Struthio camelus: one gene and its partner. The protein of the gene in region 1 purifies or fractionates together with the protein of each later gene. This does not show direct contact. Links are inferred from orthologs where the notes say so. Each region holds a gene or a part of one and is shown in the gene's direction. Other genes may lie near its edges.

Evidence for each region.
Region 2: the proteins of PTGES3 (region 1) and PPP5C purify together in Homo sapiens (affinity purification with mass spectrometry; 5 studies listed by BioGRID and IntAct, with this or other methods). This does not show direct contact. The link is inferred for Struthio camelus from reciprocal best matches to the Homo sapiens genes PTGES3 and PPP5C.

What each region holds. Positions count from the first base shown.
Region 1 is NC_090969.1:379,054-386,978, forward strand, and holds the start of PTGES3 (prostaglandin E synthase 3), read left to right. Parts: upstream 1-4,910; 5' UTR 4,911-5,139; coding exon 5,140-5,141; intron 5,142-7,925. Other genes in the region: nascent polypeptide-associated complex subunit alpha, read left to right, coding at 334-411, 950-1,096, 1,428-1,556, 2,331-2,453, 2,863-2,877. UniProt on the Homo sapiens protein: Cytosolic prostaglandin synthase that catalyzes the oxidoreduction of prostaglandin endoperoxide H2 (PGH2) to prostaglandin E2 (PGE2).
Region 2 is NC_090957.1:1,971,082-1,978,452, reverse strand, and holds the start of PPP5C (serine/threonine-protein phosphatase 5), read left to right. Parts: upstream 1-4,356; 5' UTR 4,357-4,394; coding exon 4,395-4,503; intron 4,504-5,852; coding exon 5,853-6,094; intron 6,095-7,371. UniProt on the Homo sapiens protein: Serine/threonine-protein phosphatase that dephosphorylates a myriad of proteins involved in different signaling pathways including the kinases CSNK1E, ASK1/MAP3K5, PRKDC and RAF1, the nuclear receptors NR3C1, PPARG, ESR1 and ESR2, SMAD proteins and TAU/MAPT.

The sequences.
Region 1 (7,925 bases):
ACTCCCCAAGCTCAGCAGTGGATTTTGGTGGGCATAACGTGTGCAGGGGGATGCCCTTCTGGGAAATTGCTCCTCAGAATCACCTGAGGGTCCCTCAGGCCACCCCCATCTTGAGTAGCTCACACCAGGGAATGGTGGTTGGAGAGCCTTCACAGAAAGGACTATTCTTCTATTTCTATTTTTCCTTGCCTCGCTGTTGGTCAGAGAACAGGTCCCATTGGTCTCCCTGTGCCCAGCAGTGGCCAAAGCAGGATCCCCTCAGATGCTGTCATCTGCTACATGCATCACCTGCTCAGAGCTGTCTAAGGGCCCTCTTGTTTTCTGTCCTTGCAGCTTGCAGCAGCAGCTGAAATAGATGAAGAACCCGTTAGCAAAGCAAAACAGAGTCGGAGTGAAAAGAAAGCACGAAAGGTAAGATGGGATGGGAAAGGGACCAAATCCATATACAGCCAACAGCCTGCCCATGGATGAGCTGAGCTTTACTTCAGAATGTGGCACAGTATCTCTTGAGTGCTTGGGAGTTCATCTGATGAACCCTGCTCAGGATTGCTCCTCCTCATGCTCTACCCTTGTACTATAGCAGCAGGGCTTTCTGGAGCTGAGAAATGATGGTGTGATTTTCTGTCTTGGTCAGGCCCCCAGGCAGGGGAATGCCCCCCTTCCACGGGAAAAAAATCCTTGTGCCTGGAGTGGCTCGAGGTCATGCTGTGGATCTGTGCCAGTGCTGGGAATAGAAAGTTCCCTCCCGGGCACTCAGCAGTGTCAGTCTAAAAGCCTTTGAATGCTTGTCTGCAGCAGTAAAATGCACATTTTCATTCACATGAGCGCACCAATTGTTGGACCCTGATCTCCAGAGAGCAGATGAGCATGCGCATCTTGTCCTGGGCTGGGCCGTCTCACTAACTTTTCTTTCTCTCATTCTTTTTTCTCTCTTTTTTTTTTTTTTAAGGCAATGTCTAAACTGGGCCTTCGCCAGGTCACAGGAGTAACCAGAGTCACCATTCGGAAATCTAAGAACATCCTCTTTGTCATCACAAAGCCAGACGTGTACAAGAGCCCAGCGTCAGACACCTACATCGTCTTCGGCGAAGCGAAGGTGTGTTGACTCTACGTCGTGCCTGGCAGCCATGTTAATCTGTATTCACAGCAGCGGGGTGGCAGCTCTGAGGTAGCAGGGTTCATCCTTGTCACCTGCAAACACTGGCTGCAACTGGCTGGATCCCTGCTGCTGCGCATGCCCCTAGAGAGGTGTGGGCAGGCCCCAGCCTTCACTGACGGCTGGCTTCCCAGCTCGGTTGTGCAACAGAGCTATTTAATGTGCTGGCACCTCAGCAGAGTGAGGAACACAGCTGTGACTGTCTGAGCCTGTGTGCTGACATCCCACTCTGCGTAGGGCTGGCCTCACTTGTGCTGCTTCTCTTCCCCAGATCGAGGACCTGTCCCAGCAGGCCCAGCTGGCAGCTGCCGAAAAGTTCAAAGTGCAAGGAGAAGCTGTTTCAAACATCCAGGAAAACACACAGACCCCCACCGTGCAGGAGGAGAGCGAGGAGGAAGAGGTATGCCTTCCCCAGGCTGTCTGCAGCGAGGCAGGGTGCTTTGTTTGGGAATTGAACCAAAATGCGAAACCCGGCCACTGAGCTGAAGGGCCTCATTGTGTTAATGTGCATTCATGCTAAGTGGAGCGTGCTGCTCCGAGGGGTTCTCCCTCCCCACGGTGTGCCGCGCCACGCCACGCCACGCCGCCTGCCTGGCAGCCCTGGCCAGGGTGGGGGTTCCCAGGCTGTAACCTCGGTGTGGTCATTTGTCTGCTTGACCCGTGTATCGCCTCGGCCTGGGCTGGAGGTGGTCCAGAGAGCTCTAAAGAGCAAGAGCTGGATTCACCCTCCACCAGGGCAGTTCCCTACCAGGCTGTTGTGCTCTGCCTTTGCTGCATGGATCGTAGCTCTGCTCTCCGAAGACCCTTCCTCCCCTGCCTGTTGCTTTTGCTCTTACAGGATTGCCGTATCAGCTACTCTTTCTGCCCGAGCCCCCTTCCCTGCCACTCTGTGTCACATCTAGAGCTTTGCGTTATGACACATGCTTTTCTTTCCCGCCTCTGAATGTTTGGCTTGATGACAAAAGGAAGTGCAGGGTCCTTCCCCTGGAGGACCTGGTCCCATTCGCTATCAGAAGACTGTCTACAGGGCTAGATAGCGCCCAGTCTTGCATCCCAGCTTCTGTCTTTGGCTTGACTGGGAGCTGCCCCAATCCAGACAATTCCGTTTTTCTTTGCTGGGCGTGGAGCAGGCCGTGTGTTCAGCTGGAGACAATCCTGGTCTCTGTCTCCTCAGGTTGACGAAACCGGCGTTGAGGTGAAAGATATTGAGCTGGTCATGTCCCAGGCGAACGTGTCCCGAGCAAAGGCAGTCCGTGCCCTGAAGAACAACAGTAACGATATTGTAAATGCTATAATGGTAAGTGCCTGCCTGCAGTGGCATTTCCAGCCAGTCAAGCGAGCCTTGAGCCTGGGAAGACCCATAGCGGTTAGAAATGAAACTTCCCTGTGGAGGAGACATGTGGTGCTTGTTTCTCTGTTGCTGCAAGTAGGGGATGAATTTGGGGGTCACGTGATGCAAAGTGGAGGGACTTTGTTTCCTTCCGTCTGCACCCCATGTATCTGTTTGGGATATCAGGTACCTCCACACTCTGGCACAGTAGCTTGCTCCCAGCTGGAAGGCCAGGAAGCGAAATGACCTGTCCCGGGCCTTGCTGGGCAGACGAGCCGCAGAGGCTTGTCTTCCCTAAGGAGTACTCCACGTGTCCGGAGCCAGGCTTCTGTGCCGGTGGGCAAGGCTGGATCCTAACAGGTCTTTCTCTTTGCAGGAATTGACGATGTAGCCGTCAGGAGGGAGGAGCCTTTTTTGGTGTTTCAGAGAAGAGTAAAATGCAACTACATTTAAAATTTGTACTATTTCTATCAATTAATAAAAGTTGTGGCTTATTGTTGGTGAAACATTTTTTGTTCTTTTTTGGCTTTGCTGCCTTTCCCTCCCTGGTAGCTGAGGCCCCAGGGTGGAGCCTTCATCCTGGGAAGATCTCAAAACCTGATATTCTCTGTCCTGTTACACCGTAGAGGAAGAACACCTGCTCGTTCCCTCATTTCCTTCCTGTCGCCAAAGGTCGGCTGGCTGGGAGCCCCAGGAAGGCCAGCCAAGGCCTCCGACTTCAACGTGTGCCTGGGACGCTGATCTTAGCACAGACCGTCTCCCTCTGAAGCTAGCGGGAGGTCTCAAATCTACAGGTGAGACGTCTGCTGAAGGGTGTCGCATCACCCAGGAGCGTTCCGGACGGTGCTCTTCTGTGAGAGCGCAGCTGTGATGCTCCCAGTAGCGAGTCTCTATCTCAGCCCAGGAAACCACAATGGTTTTAAAGAAAAAGAAATGATCTGCAGAATAGTGAAAAGGGGGTTCTTCTCATTTAATTCAGTGCAGCCATGGGACAGGGATGGATTAGTTTATCTCGTCATGTCTTCCAGCCTGATTTGAGAGAAGGTCAAGACTCATCCAGGTTCTTGAACCCAGAGCTTTGCAACAGCTAGAGGTGCCCAGAAGTCATGGGAGATGGCTGCTTTGGCGCTGACAGCTTCCCTTTCTTCCCTCTGCTGCCGTAGACCTGTCTTCCTTGGCAGCGGCTCCTTACCGACCGCCTTGCTGTGCCGCCCACCCCAGCAGAGATGATTGCCTGCCCACGTTGTTGGTTGTTCGCGTTCACAGCGCGTTGCCCGATGGCATCAGCCAGGCTGGGGCCCTGGTGGGCCGAGCGTCAACAAACAATAAGTCCTACCGTTTTTGAAGTGCCACTTTGCTGGAATTTGAGTGGTACAGCACAGCAGAGCAGTAGAAGGGGCTGAGCTTTGATTGTTTTTTCTCCTGCTCTCCAGGCCTGCAGGGAAGGCTGTGCTTACCCAGAAAGTTGTTTGCGTGCAGAGGGAGTCTTTCAGCACTCGACGGGTGGGAAGCGAGCTGACATTTACCCACCTAAAGCCCCAAGTCTCATGAAATGCAGAGGCTGAGCTGTGAAAATGGGCATCTTGCTGCCACTTAGCAGCATTTCTTTCTCCCTTGTGCAGTAAAATCTGGGCCTTGGAACAGCTCATTAAAGCTGATTGGCGACCTCACCGTACGGGCAGCCAGCACGAAGCCCCAGATGAAATAAGCAGGAGGTTCGCTAGCCAGAAGCCCTTCGTTACCCTTCCGTGCGGTTCCCCGGTGCCTGAACGCTGGCGAATATCGCGCGATGCTTCGCTCGGTCGCAGCTGCCCCCGGCAGCACGCGCCGGCAGGGCTCCAGCTCCGGCCGGAGCCTCGGAGGAGGCACCGGCACCGGGCCCGCGAGGGACGGATGCAGCCGCCGCGCTTGAGGAACACCGATCGGAGGAGCGGCTCGGGGAGCCGCCTTCAGCAGTTTTAACGGAGAGGCCGGAGAGCCACTGGCCCAGGGAGCGGCGATGGGAGTTCAAAGCCGCTTCGAGCCCCGGAGGTGGCACTCGGAGGCCGCAGAGGGGCCTGCGGGGGGCCAGGCCTCGGCGACCCCCGCTCCCCCGGGCGTCCTCCGCCCGGCCCGGCGCGGGGCGAGGCAGCTCTGGTGGCCGCGAGTTTGCTGCCTGCGGTGGCCCTCAAGCCGCGGTAGCCGCCCGAGCGACGGGAAACGGCGGCGCGCCGCCGCCGCCACGCGTGGGCTGCGCGGCCGCCGGGCCCGGCCGCCCGTCGCCCTGGCAACGCCGGCCCCGCCCCCTCCTCCTCCCACCTCGGGCGGGCCCGCAGCGCGCCTGCGCGCCGAGAAGCTGCTAGAAGGGAGGAGGGAGCGGGGCGCGGGCGGCGGCGGCGGGGCCCGCGCATGCGCGGCGGCGGGAGGCGGGAGGCGGGAGGCGGGAGGCGGGAGGCGGGCGCGGCGCGGCGGGTATTTTGCTGCGTCACCAGCGCCTGGGCGCCGCCGTTGCCGGAGTGCGCGCGCGGGGCATTGTGGGAGCGAGGCCGCGCCGAGCCCCAGGAGCCGCCGCCGCCGCGCCCTCGCCGCCGCCACGGCCCTTGCCGCCCGCGCCGTGCCGCCGCCGCCCGCCGCCGGGCCCCGAGGAGCGCCAGCGGAGCCGCCGCCGTTCGCCATGTGAGGCCGGGCAGCGGGGGGGCGGGGGGAAGGCGGCGGCGGCGGGGCGCTCTGCCGCGGCGGCCGGGCCCGCTCGGCCCTGCCGAGGCGGGGGGGGGGCGGCGGCGCGTGGTGACCTTGTGGCGGCGGCGGCGGCCCGGGGGGCGCCCGCTGCCGCTGGCGGCGCCGGGGGGGGCCCTGGCGGGCGGGCAATGAATGGGGCCGCGTGGGGCGGCGGGGCCTGCGGCCCTGCCCCGGCCGGCGCCTCGGCTGCGGCTCCCGGTAGGGGCCGGCGGTGGGCGCAGGGGAGCGGCGGGGCCCCGGGAGCGGTCCGCCGCGAGCAGGCGGCGCGGGGGCCGGAGCCAAGGGCAGGAGGTGGCCGGCCGGATTTCCTCTCCCGCCGGCTCCCGTGCGGCCTCCTGTGCGCCCTGGCGGCTCCGCGGAAGCCTGAAGTGCTCTGACGTTACAAGAACGCTTGTGGCACGCTGGGGAGTCCTGATTAGCCGGCTTCGTTGTAACTGTCGAGGCTGCTTCGCTGACCCGAAACCAGGGCATGCTCTTTGCAACGTAGTTACAGTTGGCATCGCTGTTCTCTGGCAATGCAAGTGGAAGAGTAGCGAAACTTTGCAGCGTATTCATAACGATCGTGTGCTGCTGGCCCTTCAGAGCAAAATCTGAAGGAAAACTACCCACTGAAGTTAACAGGAGCTTTATTTGCTGAAAACTTAAAGTTCTCTTAAAACTCTGTATTGACTTAAATGCCTGAGGATGGTAACTGCTTTCTCAAGTAGTGAGGAAAACCCGTGAACAGCTACTCAGGAAAACGACCTGCATGGCTAGTTGGGTTTTGCCCTCTGGCACCGGTAAGGCATTTACTTCTGTGCAGCTGTCCCGAAACTCTGCATTTTGAGCTTCTTCAGCTTAACGTGATTGAAAGTGAGAGGAATGTAATAACGTGGATTTTGTTTAAAGTCTCAAGAATACATCATCTTGAAACAACAGTATTACTGCATCTGGCTTAGAATTGTCTAGCTTTATAGCCTGAAGGTGTTAAAAAATAAAAATCAAGATTAATTATGTAAAGCAAACTTCTCATTGCTGTCCATAGACCTGAATGTTTTTTCCTCATAATCATGTCTGGGGGCAAAAAAATCTTATTCAACAGATGACTTTTGCAGTGTCCTCAAACGTTGCGGTCTCTAGAGATGTAAGAATTGTTAGAATACTTTCTACTTTCCATTAAAGAAAGCTAAACTTTCCATAGGTAAACCAAGGAGTGATCAAGAAAGAAAGCACAGGGACAGGTTTGGATTAGGGATTGAAAGTGGGAACTTCTTGAATCGTACCACATAGCAAACAATAAGACTTGAGATTCAGCTTGTAGATACTGGATATAAGAAACTTGAGGAAACTACTATGGCTTTCTTTAAGTAGAAGAACCTGGATGTCTGCACCAAACTGCAGCCTTTAGAGTTCTGGGTAGCCTGCTGCAGAGCCACAGTGATTATCCAGCGTGATCTCATAGAGAAAGTCAAGCTTGCAGGTCTCCCATCAGAGGGAAACTGCTGTAATGTGGTTTCTAGAATTGATTTCACAGGAATTCTTAGCTGCACGATAAAGTGCAGTCTTCAGTTGCAGTATATAATATATTTTAATAAAAATGCCTACTGATAAGTAGGGGAGTTGCAGGGCAAGCATTATGTTGCTATTTTCATCTTGGAATTTACCCAGGCTAAGCGTGCCTGCTTAACAGGCATGCTATTGTCATCTTGTCTTCTGAAAACAATTAGAAAAAGACTAGAAATGTTAGTTTAAAACTGATGCAGAGTGGCCGTATCTGTTCAGGAAGCTGTCAAAACATGCACATGGTGGCAAGCAAGGCTTTGAAAAAAAGGAATCTTTGCAGAATGTGAAATGCAGGCGACCTGTATGGCCCAGGTGGTAGTGCAAGGCCAGAAAAACTCTGCTTTTAAAGCTATTTGAGATGTGTTTTGTTGCTACATGGGATATAACGTGTTTAATTTATGTTTCATACAGATCTAAATCCCATTAGGACTTGAGGATAAGGCATATCTCAAGCACATGCTCAAGTTGACGACGCTGTTGACATAAGGCTGAAGTAATGTTAAATTAATATAGTCTGGTCCCCTGGGATTACTTTAGTTGAGAGAGGAGGAGGAGGTGTTAGGCTCTCAGTGCAACAAATGACTATGCTTAGAAGTCTTTGATACTGTTTCTCAGAGCCTGTAAGAAAATAGATCATGGTTTAGTGTGGGTGTAGGGGAGCCATGTTTCTTAAGTGCTCAGAGCACGTGCGCATCTTACCATTGGCTTTTGTGTGTCCTTTTGTCTCCTAGGAGTCTCAAAATGTAGGCATGCAGTACGAATTAGATAAGACAGCGTTAGGTCGCATCCAAAATTTTTGCCGGTAGTTTAAAACAACAATGCAGGATACATTAGAATGATGAAATCACGGCTACCAGCCTCTCATGAGAGGGCCAAAGGGCCAAAAGGAAGGTTTCCGTTACCTCTTTGAGAGGTAGTGGATGGAAGATTTAATTTAAAAAAAAAAAAAAGGCAGCTGGTTTCTGTGAGACTTGTGCATAGTTTCAATGTGATACAGTAGGCATGTTTAAAGTGGGAAGTACCAAATATTTAGGGAGGCAGCATATGTTTAGTGTTGTAAGCATGAATTATGATTCTGGTACACTTTCTTTGGTCTCTGTTGCTTCTTTCTGTAGCAGAGATGCATGTGAGATTCCTTCAGCTCTAGGGCAGTTCATTAAGATTTTTGGAAGTGCTGTA
Region 2 (7,371 bases), on another chromosome or scaffold:
GGGGGGGGGCCCCGGTTTGGGGGGGGCCCGTCCAGGGGGGCCTGTGGCGGGTCCCTGGAGGGGGTCCCAGTTTGGGGGAGTTTCTGGGGGGGTTCCCCAATTTGGGGGGTTCTGTGGTTTTGGGGGACTTCTCGGTTTGGGGAAGGTCCCTGTTTTGGGGGGTCCCCAGGGGGTGTTCCTGGTTTGGGGGGGTCTCTGATTTTGGGGAAGTCTCGGGGGGGGTTCCCCAATTTGGGAGGGTTCTGTGGTTTTGGGGGACTTCCTGGTTTGGGGGAGGTCCTTGTTTTGGGGGGGTCCCTGGGGAGCCCAGTTTGGGGGTCCCTGGATTTGGGAGGGGCCTATCTGGGGGGCTCCTGGAGGAGGTTCTCGGTTTAGGGGGATCCCTGGTTTTGGGGGGGGGGTCCCTGGGGGTTTGCAGTTCAAGGGGGTCCCTGGTTTTGGGGGGGGTCCCTGGGGGGATTCCCAGTTTTGGGGGGGGTCCCTGATTTTGGGGGAGAGGTCCCTAGTGGAGGGGGTACATGATTTTAGGGGAGTGGTCCCTGTTTTGAAGGGCTCCCTGATCTGGGGGGGGGGGCGGTCTGGTTTTTTGGGGGGTAGGTCCCAACTCAGGGAAGGGGGGTGTCCCCAGTTGGGGGGGTCCCTGATTTTGGGGGTCCGCTGACGGCGGCCCTGCAGGGCTGCCGGGGCCCCCCCCGGCCACCGCCGAGGACGAGGAAGCCGCCGCCGAAGGCCTCCCGGGGGGGGGCTTCGCCCTGGGGCCCTGAAGGGGGCCCGGCCCCCCCCCCAAAAAAAACACCCACCCTGGGGGGGTCCCCGACCCCCCCATCCCCATCCGGGACCACCCGGGCCCCCCCTCTCCCAAACCCCGGGCACCCCCCCCCACTTTTATACTCCTCTTTCGTATGATCCCCTTTTATACCGGCTTCCCCCCAACTCCCCGGCGTGGGGCCCTCGTGCGAAGGACGCCCTCGTGCAAGATCACGGCCCTTGTGCGAGAGCCACGTGCAAGAGCCGCCCTCAAGTGAGATCATGGCCCTCGTGTGAAAGCCTCGGGCGAGAGACGCCCTCGTGCAAGAGCATGGTCCTCGTGCGAGAGCTTCGTGCAACAGACACCCTCATGCGAGAGCACGGTCCTCCTGCAAAAGCCTCAGGCAAGGGATGCCCTCGTGCAAGATCTCAGCCCTCGTGCGAGAGCCTCGGGTGAGAGCCACCCTCATGCGAGAGCATGGCCCTCGTGCAAAAGCCTCGGGTGAGAGACGCCCACGTGCAAGATCACAGTCCTTGTGTAAAAGCTTCGTGCAAGAGCCGCCCTGATGCGAGAGCACGGTCCTCGTGCTAGAGCCTCAAATGAGAGATGCCCTTGTGCAAGATCACGGCCCTTGTGTGAGAGCTTTGTGCGAGAGACACCCTGATGCAAGAGCATAGTCCTCCTGCGAAGGACACCCTCGTGCAAGAGCTGCCCGGGTGCAAGATCACGGCCCTCGTGCGAGAGCCCCTGGCGAGAGCCGCCCTCGCACAAGATCACTTCCCTCGTGTGAAAGCCTTGTGCAAGAGCCCCCCCTTCCTGTGCCAGCTGCCCTCGTGCGAGAGCTCCCCCTCACTGGTGCAAGAGCCTCGGGCAAGAGCCCGTTGTATGAGGACCATGTGTGAGAGCCGCCCTCGTGCAAGATGGCTGCCCTCGTGCAAGATGGCCACCCTCATGCAAGAACCGCCCGGAAGACCCACCCCTGGGGTGAGAGTCTTGTGAAGCCTCCCCCCTCAACCCTGGTGCTACGGCCACGCACGAGCACCGTCCTCGTGCAAGAGCCTCATGAGAGAGACGCCCTCGTGCGAGAGCATGGTCCTTATGCTAGAGCCTCGTGCAAGAGACGCCCTTGTGCAAGATCACGGCCCTCGTGTGAGAGCCTCGTGTGAGAGATCCTCATGCGAGAGCACGTTCCTCCTGCGAAGGATGCCCTCGTGCAAGAGCTGCCCGGGTGCAAGATCACAGTCCTCGTGTGAGAGCCCCAGGCGAGAGATGCCCTCATGCAAGATCATTTCCCTCGTGCAAAAGCCTCGTGCAAGAGCCGCCCCTTCCTGTGCCAGCTGCCCTCGTGCGAGAGCTCCCCCCTCCCCAGTGCAAGCGCCTCGGGCAAGAGCTCCCACCTCGTGCCAGAGCCTCATGCAAGAGCCCGTTGTATGAGGACCACATGCGAGAGCCACCCTTGTGCAAGATGGCTGCCCTCGTGCAAGATGGCTGTCCTCGTGCAAAACTGCCCAGAAGACCCACCCCTGGGGCGAGAGTGTCATGAAACCTCCCCCCTCAACCCTGGTGCTACGGCTATGCACGATCGCCATCCTCATGCAAGAGCCTTGTGTGAGAGCTGCCCCCTCGCCACCGCAAGATCCTCACCCTCGTGCGAGGGCCTCGTGCAAGAACCCCCTCCGGGGGAGCCCCGTGGCCTAGGGCACGACGACTCCCTTCGCGCCCGCCACCCTAGTGCAAGCGCCTGCCCTCGTGCGAGTCAGCTGCCATGGCGCGAATGAGCCCTCCCCGCTACCTGCCGGGAGACGTCTGCCCTCGTGCGAGAGTCCGGCCCTTGTGTGAGTCCCTCCTCGTGCAAGATTGCAGCCGTCGTGCGAAACCCCCTCGTGTAAGAGTCCGCCCATCATGCAAGCCCCTCTTGTACAAGAGTGCAGCCCTCGTGCAAGACCCCCTCGTGCGAGAGTTCACCCATTTTGTGAGACCCCTTTGTGCGAGAATCTGGCCGTCGTGCGAGAGTCCGGCTGTCGTGCGAGAACCTGGCCCTCATGTGAGCCCCCCTCGTGTGAGAGCGTGGTCCTCATGCGAGATGCCCTCGTGCGAAAGTTCAGCCCTCGGGCGAGTCCCTCCTCGTGCAAGAGTCCACCCATCATCTGAGAACCCCCTCGTGCGAGAGCCTGGCCCTCACGTGAACCCCACTTGTGCAAGAGTCGAGCCCTCGTGCAAGAGACTGGCCCTCGTGCGAGACCCCTTCATATGGGAGCCCGGCCCTCATGCAAGACCGACTTGCGCGAGACTTCAGTGCTTGTGCGAGCCCCTCCTCGTGCGAGAGCCCACCCCTCGTGCGAGAGCCCCCCTCGTGCAACCACCCCCCCACCCCAGGGGGCCCCGGCGTGGCAGGAGGCTGGGGGCTCCGGCCCCGCCGCTGCACCCACACGCACAGCCCGGGGCGCCCTCGTGTGCCGCTCGCACGCCCGGCGCCTCCCCGCCTGCCTCGCACGCGCTTGTGCACACCCGCCGCTACGCGAACCCCCTCCCTCCCCCCTCCAACCCCCGCACAGGCGGACGGGACGCGGGGACACACGTGCGCACACAACACGGAGACCCGGGCCAGGTTGCATGCCCCCGCGCACGGGACGCCCCGAGGACCCCCAGCCGCCTGTCTCCGGCTGTAGGCGGAGCCGCGGCCGCCTGTACCTGCCGCTCGCTCGCGCCATAAACCGCTCTGGCAACGCAATGGCTCGGCCTCTGGTACGCGGCGGGGGGGACGCACAGGTGGGGGGGACACGCGGGTCGGGGGACACGCCGGGGGGACAGCAGGGGACACAGGAGGAGCCACACGGCGCTGCAGGTGCTCAGAGGCCCCATGGTGGCCCTAGGCCATGGGCATGGCCGCTCTGGCCCCTCTTCTTGCCATTCTATGGTAAGCCTGGGGGGGGGCCAACCTGCCACAGGCCTGGCTGCTCTGGCCCCTCTTGTTGCCACTCTATGGCGGGCAGCAGCCCCATTCCCCCCCCCCCCCACTGCAGACATAGCCGCTCTGTCCCCTTTTCTTACTGCTCTATGGTGGGCAGTGGCTCCATTTCCCCCCCCCATTGTGGGCCTGGCTGCTCTGGTCCCTCTTGGTGCCACTCTATGGTGGGTGGTGACCCCATTTCCCCCCCTCCCACCACGGCTGCCCTAGGTTGCAGGCCTGGCCACTCTGGCTCCTCTTGGCGCTACTCTATGGTGAGCAGCGGCTCTAGGCCGCGGGCCTGGCCGCTCTAGCCACTCTTGGTGCCGCTCTATGGTGGGCGGCAGCCCCACCCCCTGCCACAGCCCTAGGCCGCAGGCCTGGCCGCTCTGGCCCCTCTTGGCGCCGCTCTATGGCGAGCGGCGGCTGTAACCTGGCCGCTCTGGCCCCTCTTGACGCCGCTCTATAGCGAGCAGCCGCTCTAGGCCGCGGGCCTGGCCGCTCTGGCCCCTCTTGGCGCCGCTCTATGGCGAGCGGCGGCCCCGCCCCCCCCAGCGACGCCTTCGCCGCGCGCCTCGGCGCGGCCCCGCCCCCTCCTCCCCTCCCCTCCCCTCGCGCCGCTTTTGCGACAGCGGGCGGCGGCGCGGGGCGGCGGCGGCGGGGTCGCGGCGTTGCTAAGGGGCGCTTTACGGCGCGGCCATGGCGGAGGGGGAGCGGGCGGAGAGCGGTGGCCCCGGGCGGCCCCCGAGCCCCGGCGCGCTGGAGCGGGCCGAGGCGCTGAAGGCGCGGGCCAACGAGTACTTCAAAGGTAGCGGCTGCCCCCCGGGGGGGCCGGCGGGGTGCCGGAGAGGGAGCCATGTGGGGGGGGACGGAGGGGAGGGGGTGCCAGATAGGGAGCCATGGAGGGAGGACATAGGGAAGGGGCTGCCAAATAGGGAGCTAGGTCGGGGCGGGTATGGGGGGTGCCAGATAGGGAGCCATGAGGGGGAGCATAGGGAAGGGGCTGCCAGATAGGGAGCCGGGGGGAGGGGGGACATGAGGGGTGCCAGATAGGGAGCTACGTGAGGGGATATGGGGAGGGGGTGCCACATGGGGAGCGGGGGGGGGCATGGGCGTGCCAGATAGGGAGCCATGGTGGGGGGGGGGGATGAGAGGGGACAAATAGGGGGCTGGAGCAGGGGGGAAGAGGTGCCAGATAAGGAGCCATGTGGGAAGGGTACAGGGGAAGGGGTGCCACATAGGGAGCCGGGGGGGCTGCCAAATAGGGAGCTGAGGGAAGTGCCAGATAGAGAGCCATGATGGGGGGATCGGGGAGGGGGCTGCTGCCAGATAGGGAGCCATGGAGGGGCAATTAGGGGTGCGACCTGCTGCCAAATAGGGGGGGATGTGTTCAGGCTGGGTTTTGGGGCGATTCCTGGAGGTTTTGGGGGTCCCTCGGGGTTTGGGGTGGTCAAGGTGGTTTGGGGGAGGGGGATCCCCAGGGTTTTGGGGTGGATCGCTGTGGGTTTGGGGGGCTCAGGCTGGGTTTGAGGGGGATCCCTGGGGTTTTGGGCTGAATCCCTGCAGGTTTGGGTGGCTCAGGCTGGTTTTGGGTGGGGGTGACCCCCATGATTTGGGGGGGATTCCTGTGGGTTTGGAGGTCCCCATGGTTTTGGGCTGGATCCTGGCAGATTTGGGTGGCTCCAGGCTGGGTTTGAGGGGAATCCCTGTGGTTTTGGGCTGTATCCTTGCAAGTTTGGGTGGCTTTGAGTGGGGGTGACCCCCATGGTTTTGGGGTGGATTCCTGTGGGTTTGGGGAGCTCAGGCTGGGTTTAGAGTAAATTGCTGTGGTTTTGGGCTGGATCCTGGTAGATTTGGGTGGCTCAGGCCAAGTTTGAGGGGAATCCCCATGGTTTTGGGCTGGATCCTGGCAGATTTGAGTGGTTCAGGCCAGATTTGAGGGGGATCCCCATGATTTTGGGCTGGATCCCAGCAGATTTGGGTGGCTCAAGCCAAGTTTGGAGGAGGCTCCCCACGGTTCGGGTGGTGGTGGGGTGGGGGGAGTTCCCCGTCGTTGGGGCCGGCTCCCGGGGAGGATCGCCGCCTTTTTTGGGGGCGCTCCCCGCCGTTTTCGGGGGCGGCGGCTGAGGCCCCGGCGGGGGGGGGGTGGTCGCGCAGCGAAGGACTACGAGAACGCGGTCAAGTACTACAGCCAGGCCATCGAGCTGTGTCCCACCAACGCCATCTACTATGGGAACCGGAGCCTGGCCCACCTGCGGGCCGAGAGCTACGGCTACGCCCTGGCCGACGCCACGCGGGCCCTCGAGCTCGACGCCGCCTACGTCAAGGGCTACTACCGGCGCGCCGCCAGCAACATGGCCCTGGGCAAGTTCAAGGCCGCCCTGCGCGACTACGAAACGGTGAGGGCTGGCCCCGGCCCCCCGGGGTGTCAGTTGTGTTTAGGGAGCGCTGCTGTAGTCCTCTGGGGTGTCACTGCGTGCCTCCAGCCGTGTCTGGGGACCCCGTGTCATCCTCTGGGGTGTCACTGCGTCCCTACAGCTGTGGTTAGGGACCCTATGTCGTCCTCTGGGGTGTCACTGCCTCCCTATAGCTGTGTTTGGGGTCCCCGTGTCATCCTCTGAGGCGTCGCTGCATGCTTACAACCACGGTTAGGGACCCTGTGTCGTCCTCCAAGGTGTCGCTGTGTGCCTACAACCGTAGTTAGGGACCCCATGTTGTTCTCCAGAGTGTCACTGCGTGCCTACAGCCGTGTTTGGGGACCCTGTGTCGTCCTTTGAGGTGTCACTGCGTCCCTACAGCCGTGTCTGGGGACCCCGTGTCATCCTCTGGGGTGTCACTGCATCCCTACAACCATGGTTAGGGACCCCATGTTGTCCTCTGGGGTGTCACTGCGTCTCTACAACCGTAGTTAGGGACCCTACATCGTCCTCTGAGGTGTCACTGCGTCCCTACAGCTGTGTTTGGGGACCGTGCGTCATCCTCCGAGGTGTCACTTTGTCCCTATAGCTGTGGTTAGGCACCCCGCGTCGTCCTCTGAGGTGTCATCGCATCCTGACAGCCGTGTTTAGGGACCCTACGTTGTCTTCCGGGTTGTCATTGCGTCCCTACAACCGTGGTTAGGTACCCTGCGTCATCCTCCGAGGTGTCACCATGTCCCTACAGCTGTGTTTGGGGACCCCATGTTGTCCTGTGGGATGTCACCGTGTCCCTGCAGCTGTGGTTAGGGACCCTGCATCACCCTGTGGGGTGTCACCGCATCCCTATAGCTGTGGTTAGGGACCCTGTGTCGTCCTCTGGGGTGTCACTGCATCCTGACAGCTGTGGTTAGGGACCCTGTGTCGTCCTCCGGGGAGGTCATTGTGCCCCAGGAGCTGTGTTTAAGGACCCTATGTCACTCTCTGAGATGTCACCGTGTCCCTAGAACTGTTTAAGAACTCTGTATTGGTCGCTAGGGCGTCACCATGTCCCTACAGCCGTGTTTAGGGACCCTATGTTATTTTCTGGGGTGTCACCACATCTCCGCGGCCGTGTTTAGGGACCCCACATCGTCCTCTGAGGTGTCACTGCGTCCCTACAGCCGTGTTTGAGGACCCCACGTCACTCTATGGAGCACCGTCCTGTCCTTATGAACATGTTTGGGGAGCCGGTGTCACCCTCCCACGTGTCACTGGTTTTC